Linked DNA regions of Stegostoma tigrinum. The protein of the gene in region 1 interacts with the protein of each later gene in a biochemical or structural test. Links are inferred from orthologs where the notes say so. Each region holds a gene or a part of one and is shown on either strand. Other genes may lie near its edges.

Region 1 (7,892 bases):
TGCTATTTTTCATTTTGAAATCTTAGGAACCTTTGTCATGTTTTTCTCATAGTCACTCTTCTGTCATCCAGAGATCTCTGGATTTATCCCCACCTTTCCCCCAATGGGAATGTATCTGACCATATTCCAACTTTCTCCTATTTAAAGGTGACCCATTGTTCCACAAAATTGTGTCTGCTATTCTTTGATTCCGATGTATCTGGGCCATTCTCATCCCATTAGAGGTAGCCCTCTCCTAGTTAGTTAGACAAAGAATATTACAGCATGGGAACAGGCCCTTAAGCTCTCCAAGCCTGTGCCACATTCTGCCCTTCCAAACTATCTCTCTATTCCCTTCCTATTCACGTATTTGTCCGGGTCCTCCTTGTATGCTCCCACCGGCGCGTTCCAGGCACTCACCACCCTTTGTTGGAAAAAAAAATGTCTCGCACATCTGACTTGAACTTCTCCCAACACCTTGAACTTGTGTCCCCTAGAAACTGACCCCTCCACCCTGGAAAAACGTGTCATTTTTCCACTCCATTTATGCCATTCACACTCTTTTAAACTACTTTCAGGTCACCCCTCAACCTCCTGCACTCTAGCGAAAACAAACCCAGCCTATCCAACTTTTCTTCATAGCAAAAATCCCCTATGCCAGGCAACATCCTGGCAAACCTTTTCTGTACCCTCTCCAAAGTATCCATATCCTTCTGGTCGTGTGGCGACCAGAACTCTCCGCAATATTCCAAGTGTGGCTTAACTGAAGGTCTGTAAAGCTGCAACATAACTTGTCTATCCTTCTACTCAATGCCCCTCCCAATGAAGGCATGCATGCCATAGGCCTTTTTAACTACCTTATCTACCTGCCTTTAATGATCCGTGGGCCTGCACATCCACATCTCTCTGTACATCAATACTCCGAAGACTCCTATTATTTTTAGCCTGGATTTCTCCTTGTCCTTTTAACACATAGAAGGCTATGCTCATTGGTCCTGGAAACCTTCCCTCCTGATGTTCGATTCTCTTAAAAATCGATCTCATTCCCCTGGCTGGAGGAAAGCAATGACACTTTCCTCCTTGGACTAGAAATATGATAAAGAAGGTAGTTGCAGCCTTTTGGAGATGCCCAGTGTTGGATTTTGCATGCCTAGGTTTAGTTCAGAAACAAGATATTTCACACATTGGTACATGGAGAAAAACAGAAGTCAGTTCTAGTGATGGGAATCTTGAACGATTAAAATAAAATGGAATACAAGATCTGAGATCAAAGCAATAGTGCCTTACACAAACGCCATCTGAAACTGGAGATGAAGTCACAAATTTGACATCACAGGTGTGTATACTTTTACAAAATGTATTGTGGAGGTCAAGCTGGTGATTTTGTGACAGTTTTGTTCAGATTATTTGGTGTTACATGATGTACAAGTCTGAAGCTGCATTAACAGTGGTGAGACTTTCACAACATGAAAACTACTGAATGCTAATGGTTGACCATTGGGAAATTATACAACCGTTTTATACCTCATCTCAATTTCTGTGGAATGTTTTTGTCCCTCCTTCTGTGGAATGCCCTTAGCTCTGTTGGCACTAAAAAACATTTTATTCATTTATAAAGGAAGCTATGCAATTTAGTCCCTTAATCTTTGACAGTTACAGGTTATTTTAGAAAATAAAACACCATAAAAACGAAACTTAGAACTCAAATGAAAGGCACCTTTTATTTTGCACAATGATATGTTGGTACATTTCTTGTTTTCAAATCATCTATCATGCACATTGAGATTGTTTCTTTGCCAAGGTGTAGACTTTAATTGTATCTAATTATTGTAGAACATGCCATTGACTGTCTACTCAGCTCTAAATCCCATAGCTGCTACTTAGAAGGTAGTAGTGATTACTGCTGGTCCCAGGGGCTAGCATCCATTGAAGCCTTTCCAACCAGTGGTCACCACAGGGAATGGAACACCTGCGACACTGATGATTGTACTATGACTCAGCCGGGGAGGTTTCCCTTTGGAGTGGTTGGGACTCTGTTACTTATTTTAGAATCTTTTCATATGATTGAACTGCACACCTATTAATTATGTTAGCAGTGCCCCTGAAGATGCAGTTTTAATGTAAATTCTAACGAGGTGTGGCTTGGGTAACTGAGTACCACTCCTCTTGCTCCAATTAAAACTGGGTCAGAGTCATGGCCAATCTGAGACATAGAAGTTTACAGGTAACTGTGATACTTGTATCAGACAGCTACCTTCAGATTGAGTAACTAGGCAGCTGTGCCTGGAACAAAGCACTGAGGTGACAAAAAAAAAGAAAAAGCAGCAATCGCTGTTGGATTATGTGCAATAAAGCATCGTCCTTGAAAATTAAAAAATTCCTTGTGTTCAAAAATCCAAAAACATTTTTTTCCCCAGAAAATAACATTTATTTGTACCGTCTTCCTGCATTGTCATGAAATCTTAAGTTTCATTTTGTCTTTAGGCTCAGCAAGTTGTTGGTTCAAACGTCACTCCTAGAGCTCGTAAAAATGAAGTGTGATACACGTTAATGCTGCCTTACTATTGAGGCATTAAACCATGGTGCCTGAGATAATGGGAACTGCAGATGCTGGAGAATTCCAAGATGATAAAATGTGAGGCTGGATGAACACAGCAGGCCAAGCAGCATCTCAGGAGCACAAAAGCTGACGTTTCGGGCCTAAACCCTTCATCAGAGAGGGGGATGGGGAGAGGGAACTGGAATAAAATTTTTCATTCCAGTTCCCTCTCCCCATCCCCCTCTCTGATGAAGGGTCTAGGCCCGAAACGTCAGCTTTTGTGCTCCTGAGATGCTGCTTGGCCTGCTGTGTTCATCCAGCCTCACATTTTATCAAACCATGGTGCCTTCTGGTCTCAAGTAGATTTGAAAGATCCCACAGCACTATTTCAAAAAAATTATCTCCGGTGATCAGGTTAATTTTTATTTCTCAACGAACATCACAAAAACAGATCGTCTGTTCCTGATCAGATTGCAGTTTGTGCAAAAACAGGCTGCCGTGTTCTACATGTTAATGGTTACGGAGGTGAGGTTGGTAATATAACTGGTTTAGTAATCCAGAACCCCCGACCACTATTCCAAGGGCATGGATTTGAATCCCCACTATCACAAATGGTGAACTTCAAATCCAATACTTTTATATGAGGAATAACAAGCTAGGTCTAACAATGATCCGATAACACTGTCAATTGTTATAAAAACCCCATCTGGCTGACTAATGTCCATTGGGGAAGGAAATCTGCCATCCCTGCCTGATCTAGCACACATGACTCCAGACCATAGGAATGTGGCAGGCCCCTAGATGCCCTCTGAGCAATTAGAAATAAGCAAGAAATGCCATCCTTGCAAGTAGCACCCATATCCCATGACCAAATGAAAATATATTTTTGATGTCTGAAATGGTTAGGATCATCCAGAGGTTGTAAAAGATGCTGTACAAATGCAAGTCCTGCTTTTTGAATGCTTATGTTCTCCATTAGTTATTTCCTTTGAGAAAGTTGGCACATAAAGATACTGATTTTCAACTGATGACACTGCAACCTAGCATCTCCATCCATCCATTGAAAAAAGGTCCACATAGAAGGTGATGATATCATAAGGTATTTGACTGACTGGAGAGAAACGAACTGCCAATAGGATTAGGAAAAAAAAGGACATTAGAAGTAAGTCAACGTTATGCTACCTGATCACAATTACAACATCTGCTGATGGAAGGAACAAGGAGGGGAAACTGGCTGATCAGCAGTTTAGTGGGAATAAGATTGAGGAAAGAGGAGGGGAGTCTGATCAATAAAGTGAGATCAGGAAACACTATGGGTGATCAAGAGACTAGAGAAAGTGAGAATTCAGGATCAGGGCATGAGGGTATTATAGGATGTTTGGTCAGTTGGAGTAGTGGGAGGCAGTGAGACAGCAGCACCAGATAAGGAGATTGTGTCAGTCGGAGTGTCAGACCTCCACGAGGTCCTTCCATGACATTGTTGGTGAGGGTGAGCAGACAGGATAGAGGCAGGAAGATTGCCTGCAGTCAAGAAAAGCAACCACAGATTATCCTTCAATTCCAGGACAACCCTGGAGCAGATTTCCAAGACTAGGATTCCATACTGTTAGGTGGTCCAGCCAAATAGCTGATGCTTGACGGCTAAACAAGTTGTCAGCCTTATCCTTTCACGTCTAGCCATCTTGCAGTACTGGAATTCTGACTTTATTAGAAAGCAGGACATCAACAGTGGAGAGGAGGTTGAGGAAAAATTTTACATGAGGAATAGTGCTACTTAAACTTTGGTTTTAAGTGGCACTGATCACCAACTCTAATACTGTTTACAGAAATACTTGATGCTATGAAGCCTCTATAAAATGTTCACAGCGACAGTAGAATTTGGTGTACAAAACAGGTGTTTGGGAGAACACAGTGAGCCAAGCAGCATCTGGAGGAAAGAAGTCAACATTTCAGATATTACCCTGCTTCAGGACCAAAGGGTGATACCCAAAACATTGACTCCTGCTTTCCTCCAGATGCTGCGTGGCTTGCCGAGTTCTTCCAGCCTCCTGCTTGTCGACCTTGGATTTCGGCATCTTAGTGTGGAGCTGGAGGAACACAGCAGACCAGGCAGCACAAGAGGAGCAGGAAAGTTGACCAAAGGGTCCTGACCGAAACATCAGCTTTCCTGTTCCTCTGATGCTGCCAGGCCAGCTGTGTTCATCTAACTCCCCACTATTACCTCTGACTCCAGCATCTGCAGATCTCACTTTCTCTGCAGCCCCCCCCCGTTTCTGGCAATAGCATTTGCAGCTGGCTTGTTATGATCGACTACTTCCATGCGATGGCAGTCTCCAATCCAGCTGCTGGCAATAGACAATGTTTACTCAAAGCGCCCGAAACACCAACCTCACTGCAAATACTGATCAAACACGTGATTTATAAAGTTCAAAGATTTTTCTTTGAAGCTAACGATTGAATATTACAGAAGGGGGGAAAAGAGAGAGGGAGTAAAGACAGAGAGGAAGCTAGTAGTCACACTAATCCGAACAAAGGGGAACTATTCTAAGTTACTCTAGAGTTGTACTCATTGATAGTCAATGAAAGCATCCAGTTCAACACGTTCAGCTCAGTTTTAAGGTGGGTGAAGGAGCTGAGGTCAGCGCTCTGAAACTCGCGGCTTTTGGGACGAAAACAAAAGTAGAAGAAACTAACACTTTTGCTTCTAGCGTCTTGTTCGGATAATTCTGAGCGGGTCCCAAATTGCTACGATGACAACGAGAAAGGGTTTCTCTTACCAGGAGATTAATAAAACAGCCTGGGAAGTACTGGAGAGATACACAGAGCTGGCTGCTGTAGGCTCAGGAGCCTATGGAAGTGTTTGGTAAGTGGGATCTTATCTCCTTACCCAGTTTCGTTTTAAGAGATCGGATAGTTTTTTTAAAATTGCCCTGTGATGGGCAACATGATTTCTTCACCTCATCTGACGCTTAAAAGCACACACATACACATAAACATACACGTTCAACGAACGCTATGTATTTAAATACAATGAGTGAACTGAAAAAGTCGTGAACTGGCCCACAGCTCTTCCGGGTTCTCAAAAAAAAACTTGCCATATGTTATTGTGTACTCGCGATATATTTGCCACTAAATGCATTCTTACCAATCTCTGATTTTTTTTTTGACCCACAGCTCAGCCATCGATAATCGAACTGGCACTAAAGTAGCAATCAAGAAATTATACCGACCTTTTCAATCCGAGTTATTTGCTAAACGAGCTTACCGGGAACTTCGCCTATTGAAACACATGAAACACGAGAATGTGAGTGAATGATCATTTCAAAAGTATAAACATGGTGACACCAGGGTTTTATTGAAGTTGCACTACTGTAATAGATTTCTTATCTTCGATTTTCGATATCACCTTATAAAATGGGAGGGTTGTTAGTTTTATCTCTGGAAAAATAAACGCCTTAAATAATCTTTGTTTGCTTATATAATCCTGTTTTGATTTTGCTGGTCAATTTTTCATTCCATTGTTGACCGTGTGTAAGTGCTAGCTACCCATAACGATTTGAGGAAGGGGAGGAGTAATGTAATGGATGAGAGGAAGGGAAAACGGAACAAAGTCATCAGATTTTTGTTTTCTTCGTGGATAGACTAACATTTATTGCCCATCCCTAATTGCCCAGAGAGCAGTGGAGAGTCATACACGTTGCTGTGGCAAATACAGAGAATATTAGAGAAACTGAACAAGTCTGGTAGCATCAGTGGAAATCAGACTTAATGTTTCTTGTCCAGCAAGATGACTTCAGACTCTTCTGGGGGTAGTTAAGAGTTAACTTGCTTACACATTTAAAACCAGGGCCTCAGGTAGTTGTAGAACAGAGAGACCGAGGGGTTCATAGACATACTTCTTTGAGGTTTGTATCACATGTATGTAAGGCGGTTAAGAAGGCATTGCTCGGACTTTTGAGTATAGATGTTGGGCTATTATGTTGAAGTTTACACAGAATGTTGATGAGGCCTCTTCTGGAGTACTGTGCTCCCTGGCCTCCCTGTTATAGGAAATATATTACTAAGCTGAAGAGGGTTCTGAAGAGATTTGCTAGGATATTACCAGGAATGGAGTATTTGAATTATAAGGTGAAGCTGGATATGCTGGGACTTTTTTCACAGGAGGTTGAGGGGCAACCTTTATAAAGGTTTATAAAATCATAAGGGCTATAGATAAGGAGAATGGGAGGCATCTTTTCCGTAGGGTGGCAGATTTCAAGACAAAGCATTATTTTTAAGGTGAGAGGAGAATGATTTAAACAAAAAAATGAGGGGCTTTTTATTACACAGAGAATGGTTCGTGTGTGGATGAACTTCAAGAGGAAGTGATGGATGCGGCTACAATTACAATATTTAATAGGTATTTAGCTAAGTATATGAATAAGAAATGTTTGGAGGGATATGTGCCAAGCGCAGGCAGGTGGGACTAGTTTAGTTTGCAATTATGGTTGGCATAGACTGGTTGGACTGAAGGTCTGTTTCCATGCTGTATAACTCTCTGACTCTATAACCATATTGCTGTGGATCTGGAGTTACAAGTAAGCCAGGCCCAGTAAGGATGGCAGATTCCTTTCTTCATGGACATTGGCGAACCAGGTGGAGTTATTTTTGAAAATTGACGTAGCTACTTGGCCAGCATTAGGCTATCTTTTTAAATTTCAGTTTGTTTATTGAATCTGAATTTCATCATCTGCAGAGGTTGAATCTGAATGTATGTCCCCAGACCTTCTAGCCTAGTGTTCTAGATTACTAATACAGTAACCTTAGTATTACCTCACCACCTCCCCTTAATCAGTGAGACCAGTAAGGGTGGTACTCCATCTATCCAACTTGAATGAATCCACAGTCAGCATCTCAACCCAAAATATATTGAATCATTCCTGGGTTCTTCCCTCTGCCAATCAACTTATAAGTCTATATTTTCATGTGATTAAATTCCAAATATCATGCCAAAGTGTCTCATGGCTTAGGCGCTCATGTTCCAGGCTTCCTTTTTCTATATTGTTCACTTTTACATGCTGTCATCTTTAGGGGGTGCAAAGTTTGTGCTTCTACAGTATTCCTCATAGGTTGGGGGTCAAAGACCCAACACTTCTTTGCGCCATCTCCTTTGTTCAAGTACTTATTTCTGTTGTATTGTAGTGCTCAAAGTATTGTCTGGCTGCAGTGATAGATAGCACTTCGACGCAAAATTCAACTCTTCAATGAACAGTGTACTGAGTACAAAGCCTAATAATATCCTAGATAATGGTCAACCATGTTATTAACCATCTCATCAATAAGTAATTTATCAGCCGCTTTCTTCCTATGCATAATACTTCAAACATTTCTGGAT
Region 2 (7,005 bases), on another chromosome or scaffold:
CTTAGTAACTCTATCTTACCCTTTACTTCATTGAGTAACTCACCCTCCTTGTTCCTCATAGGTCCAACCCTATCCTTCACTAATCTTTCACTATTAATATGCTTGAAGAACACATTACTATTTGTTTTAGTTCCATTCTTACTTACTCTCAGGCCTCCTTATTCCAGCCTTAGCTGGTTCACGTCATATTTGTCAGCCCAGCACCCCATTTTGTCGCATGTGAACACAGACAGCTTCACTATCTGAGAATTCACGACTGGTGCTGAACATTTTGCAACCTTATGATGAAGGAAGGTCTTTGATGTGGCGGCTGAAGATGGTTGGGCCTGAGACTCTACCCTGAGGAACTCCTGCAGAGATGTCCTGGGGCTGAGATGATTGACCTCCCACAACCACAACCAGATTCCTATGAGTCAGGTATGACTCCCCAAGGCACGGGCATGATGCAAAACTCCCCACTGACTGAGACCGAAGAACGCGTAAGAAACACGACTCCAAAAGCCTGATTGGCATCATATTCAACATTCACTCCCTCCACCATTGATGCAGTTAGGCAGCATCTTGGACAGATTCTTAATGTGTAAGGGAATTGAGGATTACAGGAAATGGTACCAAAGTGGGGTTCAGAATTATCAGATCGGCCATGATCTCATTTAATGGGGGGAGCAGACTCGATGGGCTGAATGGCTCCTATCTCTTATCATATGGTCAGTGTGCAAGATGCACTGCAGCAATTTACCCAAGATGGACAGCACCTTCCAAACCCATGACCACTTCAGTCTAGATGGACAAGGGTAGCAAATACATGGGAACACCATTCCCTTCAAGTTCCCTTCCAAGCCTCTCACCATCCTGACTGACAGTCATAGAGCCGAACAGCAAAGAAGCCAGTCCAAACCATCTGTGCCAACTAGACATCTCAATGTGACCCTGTTCCATTTGCCAGCATTTGGCCCATATCCGTCTACACCCTTCCTGTTCATGTCTCCATCCAGATGCCTTTTAAATGTTGTAACTGTACCAGCCTCCACCACTTCCTCTGGCAGCTCATTCCATACACGCACCACCGTCTGCGTGAAAATGTTGCCCCTTTTAAATCCTTCCCCTCTACGTTAAACCTATGCCCCTCTGGTTTTGAACTCCCCCCCCTACCCTGGGGGAAAGAGGTTGTCTATTCACCCTGTCCATGCCCCGGGGAAATATATCACCGTTCCTTCACTGTCACTGAGACAAAATCCTGGAAATCCCCCCCAACAAGGGCAGGGGGACTGCAGGTCATCAAGAAGGCAGCTCACATTCACTACCTTCTCACGGGGCAACTAGGCACAGGGCAATAAATGGTCCCACAGATGATGATGCTCATATTGTGTGAGGGAATAAAAAATAATTTTACTCCAAGTGGGGGTGTTGGTTTGGAAAGTGAAAGACGTGGGACCAGTGATCCATTGTCTCCTCTGCCTAACCCTGTTATCCTATAACCCTGACCCTGTTATCCTATAACCCTGACCCTGTTACCCTATTACCCCGACCCTGTTACCCTATTACCCTGACCCGGTTACCCTATCACCCTGACCCTGTTACCCTATCACCCTGACCCTGTTACCCTATTACCCTGACCCTGTTATCCTATTACCCTGACCCTGTTACCCTATTACCCTGACCCTGTTATCCTATAACCCTGACCCTGTTACTCTATCACCCTGACCCTGTTACCCTATTACCCTGACCCTGTTACCCTATTACCCTGACCCTGCTACCCTATCACCCTAACCCTGTTGCCCTATTACCCTGACCCTGTTACCCTATAACCCTAACCCTGTTACCCTATCACCCTAGCCCTACCACCCTATCACCCTAACCCTGTTACCCTATTACTCTGACCCTGTTACCCTATCACCCTGACCCGGTTATCCTATCACCCTGATCCTGTTACCCTAACCCTGCTATCCTATCACCCTAACCCTGTTGCCCTATTACCCTGACCCTGTTACCCTATTACCCTAACCCTGCTACCCTATCACCCTAACCCTACCACCCTATCACCCTAACCCTGTTGCCCTATTACCGTGACTCTGTTACCCTATAACCCTAACCCTGTTACCCTATCACCTTAACCCTATTATCCTGACCCTGTTACCCTGACCCTGTTACCCTATTACCCTAACCGTGCTACCCTATCACCCTAACCCTATCACCCTAACCCTGTTGCCCTATTACCCTGACCCTGTTACCCTATAACCCTAACCCTGTTACCCTATCACCTTAACCCTGTTACCCTGACCCTGTTACCCTATCACCCTAACCCTGCTACCCTATCACCCTAACCCTACCACCCTATCACCCTAACCCTGTTGCCCTATTACCCTGACTCTGTTACCCTATAACCCTAACCCTGTTACCCTATCACCTTAACCCTATCACCTAACCCTGTGGCCCTATTACCCTGACCCTGTTACCCTATAACCCTAACCCTGTTACCCTATAGCCTTAACCCTATTACCCTGACCCTGTTACCCTATAACCCTAACCCTGTTACCCTATAGCCTTAACCCTATTACCCTGACCCTGTTACCCTATAACCCTAACCCTGTTACCCTATAGCCTTAACCCTATTACCCTGACCCTGTTACCCTATAACCCTAACCCTGTTACCCTATTACCCTGACCCTGTTATCCTATTACCCTGACCCTGTTACCCTATTACCCTGACCCTGTTATCCTATAACCCTGACCCTGTTACCCTATCACCCTGACCCTGTTACCCTATTACCCTGACCCTGTTACCCTATTACCCTGACCCTGCTACCCTATCACCCTAACCCTGTTGCCCTATTACCCTGACCCTGTTACCCTATAACCCTAACCCTGTTACCCTATCACCCTAGCCCTACCACCCTATCACCCTAACCCTGTTACCCTATTACCCTGACCCTGTTACCCTATCACCCTGACCCGGTTATCCTATCACCCTGATCCTGTTACCCTAACCCTGCTATCCTATCACCCTAACCCTGTTGCCCTATTACCCTGACCCTGTTACCCTATTACCCTAACCCTGCTACCCTATCACCCTAACCCTACCACCCTATCACCCTAACCCTGTTGCCCTATTACCGTGACTCTGTTACCCTATAACCCTAACCCTGTTACCCTATCACCTTAACCCTATTATCCTGACCCTGTTACCCTGACCCTGTTACCCTATCACCCTAACCGTGCTACCCTATCACCCTAACCCTATCACCCTAACCCTGTTGCCCTATTACCCTGACCCTGTTACCCTATAACCCTAACCCTGTTACCCTATCACCTTAACCCTGTTACCCTGACCCTGTTACCCTATCACCCTAACCCTGCTACCCTATCACCCTAACCCTACCACCCTATCACCCTAACCCTGTTGCCCTATTACCCTGACTCTGTTACCCTATAACCCTAACCCTGTTACCCTATCACCTTAACCCTATCACCTAACCCTGTGGCCCTATTACCCTGACCCTGTTACCCTATAACCCTAACCCTGTTACCCTATAGCCTTAACCCTATTACCCTGACCCTGTTACCCTATAACCCTAACCCTGTTACCCTATAGCCTTAACCCTATTACCCTGACCCTGTTACCCTATAACCCTAACCCTGTTACCCTATAGCCTTAACCCTATGACCCTGACCCTGTTACCCTATAACCCTAACCCTGTTACCCTATAGCCTTAACCCTATGACCCTGACCCTGTTACCCTATAACCCTAACCCTGTTACCCTATAGCCTTAACCCTATTACCCTGACCCTGTTACCCTATAACCCTAACCCTGTTACCCTATTAACCTGACCCTATTACCCTATGACCCTGACCCTGTTACCCTAATACCCTGACCCCATTGCCATATAACCTTAACCCTATTACCCTGACCCTGTTACCCTATCACCCTCACTCTATTACCCTGACCCTGTTGCCCTTTGACCCTTCACCTCCACACGGTGTTAATAAAGTTGCTTCTTGTTTCCAAGATGGCGGCGCCCATTGCCCGCTCTCTCCGCTGGTTCGGGCCCGGGCTCCGGGCCTTGGGGACGGGCCGCGGGGGGCAGCCCGGGCTCCGTGCACTGGCGTGTGGGCTCAGGCCCTGGGCCGATGGCGAGGAGCCCGGTGCAGGCTCTAACTCCAAAACCTGGTGGGGCCTGGGCCCCGGGGCGCTGCTGCTGCTACTGTGGCGGGATCGGGAGCGGGAGGCCGAGGCCCGCACAGAGCCCAGGCCGCCCTCACGCCTCGGGCTCCCCGCGCTGTTTCTCCCCCAGGTACAGGCCGCTCGGCCCGTTCCCCCAGACAGTCCCCGCTTCAAGTTCAACTTCATCGCGGATGTGGTGGAGAAAACAGGCCCCGCCGTGGTTTACATCGAGATCCTGGGGAGGTAATTACCGGGGGTGGGGGGGGTGTGGATATGGGGGTCAGAGAGGGTTTGCAGGAGGCATGGGGGGGGTATTAGGGTCAGAGAGGGTGCGTTGGGGGGATATGGGGGTCAGAGAGGGTTTGCAGGAGGCATGGGGGGGGTATTAGGGTCAGAGAGGGTGCGTTGGGGGGATATGGGGGTCAGAGAGGGTTTGCAGGAGGCATGGGGGGGGTATTAGGGTCAGAGAGGGTGCGTTGGGGGGATATGGGGGTCAGAGAGGGTTTGCAGGAGGCATGGGGGGGGTATTAGGGTCAGAGAGGGTGCGTTGGGGGGATATGGGGGTCAGAGAGGGTTTGCAGGAGGCATGGGGGGGGTATTAGGGTCAGAGAGGGTGCGTTGGGGGGATATGGGGGTCAGAGAGGGTTTGCAGGAGGCATGGGGGGGGTATTAGGGTCAGAGAGGGTGCGTTGGGGGGATATGGGGGTCAGAGAGGGTTTGCAGGAGGCATGGGGGAGGTATTAGGGTCAGAGAGGGTGCGTTGGGGGAATATGGGGCATGGGGTTTAGAGAGGGGTATTTGGGGGATATTAGGGCATCGGGGTGATTGTGTACGGGGGATGGGGGAGTGTGGGTTTCGTATGTGGGTTAGAGAGGTTTTGCGGGGGAACATGTGGGGCTCGGAGGGGGAGCGCGGGGGGTAGGACGGGCCTCTCAGAGGGTGTGCAGGGTGGAGGAGTATGGGGGTCAGGGAGGGTGCACGGGGGGAATATGTGGGGGCGCAAGGGGGAGGATGGGGGTCAGAGAGGGTGTGCAGGCGGGTACTGGGGTCAGAGAGGGTGTGCAGAGGGATATATGGAGGTCGGAGGGGGAGTGCAGGGGGGAGGACGCGACTCTGAGAGGACGTTGGGGGGATGAGTCCGGGAGTTGGGGAGGGTGTGCAGAGGGATATATGGGGGTTAGAGACATGTGTCTGTGGGGATATTGCGGCGGTTAAGAAGGCCTGCGGGGTGACTTGGGGTATAAGAGGGTCCTCCAAGCTGATGTGGCGGGGGTGGTGGTGTGGAGAGAGAGAGTCTGCAGGGGCTTATTGAGATATTTACTTGCGGGGGCGGGGGGGGGGCCGGCGGAATCGCTTGGCAGGTGAATTACAAAATGGGAAAATGTGACGTTGTGCGGTTTGGCCGGGGGGATAAGGAGCTGAATACCACTTAAATGGAAAAACACATTTGGAGGTGCTGAGAGAACAACAAACATACCAGGGAGATTAGTCCCCGGAAGCTGAGCACAGGGTTCAGGGCATTTCAGGACAAGGGCGTCGTCGTCTTATGAGGACATGAGGGCCCTTGTTTTACACCGTGAATGGTTTGTGTGTGAAATAAGCTGCCAGAGAAAGTGGTGAATGTGGATACAATTACAACATGTAAAAGACATTTCGATAAGTTCATGAATAGGGAAGGTTTGGTGGGATACGGGCCGGGGCAGGCAGGTGGGACTGGTTTAGTTTGAGATTATGTTCGGCATGGCGTGGTTGGGCCCCAGAGCCTGTTTCCGTGCTGTATGTATCTCAGGACATTGTGGGCAGCTGGGGGAGAAATTGCTGGGCCCCTGGCAGAGATATTTATATCTTTAACAGTCATGGGTGAGGTGCCAGGAGACTGGAGGGTGTTAACAGTGTACTGTGATTTAAGTAAAGATGCAATGAAAAGCCAGAGAACCAGTGAGCCTGGCATCAGTTGTTGAAGGGGATCCTGAGGAACAGGATTTACAGTATTTCGAAAAGCAAGGACTGATCAGGGAAGGCGAGCATGGCTTTGAGTGTGAGCAATTATCTCTCTCAAACTTGAAAGGGTATTTGGGAACCTGAGGGGCACCTTTTTGTACACAGGGGGTGGTACGCATATGGAATGGGCTGGCAGCGGAAGTGGGTGAGACGGGTACATTAACAACATTTGGCAGGCATTTGGACAAACACATGGGCAGGAAAGGCTTAGAAAGGTCTAGTGCAGGGAAATGGGGTTAGCGTGGATAGACTTTTACGTTGGCATGGGCCAGTTTGGGCCAAAGGGCCTGTCTCTGTGCTGCGGGACCCTCTGTCTGTAAGTTGGACTGGTTCGGTTTAAGAAGGCTGGTCAGCATGGAGGAGTTTCACAGAAGGGCCTGTCTCTGTGCTGTATGCCGCTGACTGTAAGATAGGCTATAGAACAGAGCAGCAACAGGGACTGTTCTGTGTTATGAGGTTGTGTGTATACTCACTGGAATTTAGGTGAGTGCGAGGCAAATATGCAAGATTGCTCAAGGACTCGACAGCGTAGATGTGGAAAGGTTGGTTCCCCTTGGGGAGGGTCTGGGACCCGACGGTGTCGTTGCAGAATAAATAGTTGCACGTTTAAGACAGAATTTCTTGTGAAGGTAGTGAATCTGTGGAATTCTTAACCGTAGATGGCTGTTGAGCTTGGGTCATGAAGTACATTCCAGCTGAGATGGACAGATGGTTGATCAGTGAGGGAGTCAAGGGGTGGGGGGTAAAGGGAGGAAGGTGGGGGTGAGGATTATCAGAACAGCCATGATCTCATTGAGTGGTGGAGCAGACTCAGTGGGCTGAATGGCCTATCTTATGGTT

Evidence for each region.
Region 2: of the proteins of mitogen-activated protein kinase 12-like (region 1) and serine protease HTRA2, mitochondrial-like, one has a biochemical effect on the other in vitro, tested with the Homo sapiens proteins (2 studies listed by BioGRID and IntAct, with this or other methods). The link is inferred for Stegostoma tigrinum from reciprocal best matches to the Homo sapiens genes MAPK12 and HTRA2.

Annotation. Positions count from the first base shown.
Region 1 is NC_081378.1:27,509,328-27,517,219, forward strand, and holds the start of mitogen-activated protein kinase 12-like, read left to right. Parts: upstream 1-4,891; 5' UTR 4,892-5,268; coding exon 5,269-5,381; intron 5,382-5,692; coding exon 5,693-5,822; intron 5,823-7,892. UniProt on the Homo sapiens protein: Serine/threonine kinase which acts as an essential component of the MAP kinase signal transduction pathway.
Region 2 is NC_081354.1:188,104,121-188,111,125, forward strand, and holds the start of serine protease HTRA2, mitochondrial-like, read left to right. Parts: upstream 1-3,992; 5' UTR 3,993-4,009; coding exon 4,010-4,407; intron 4,408-7,005.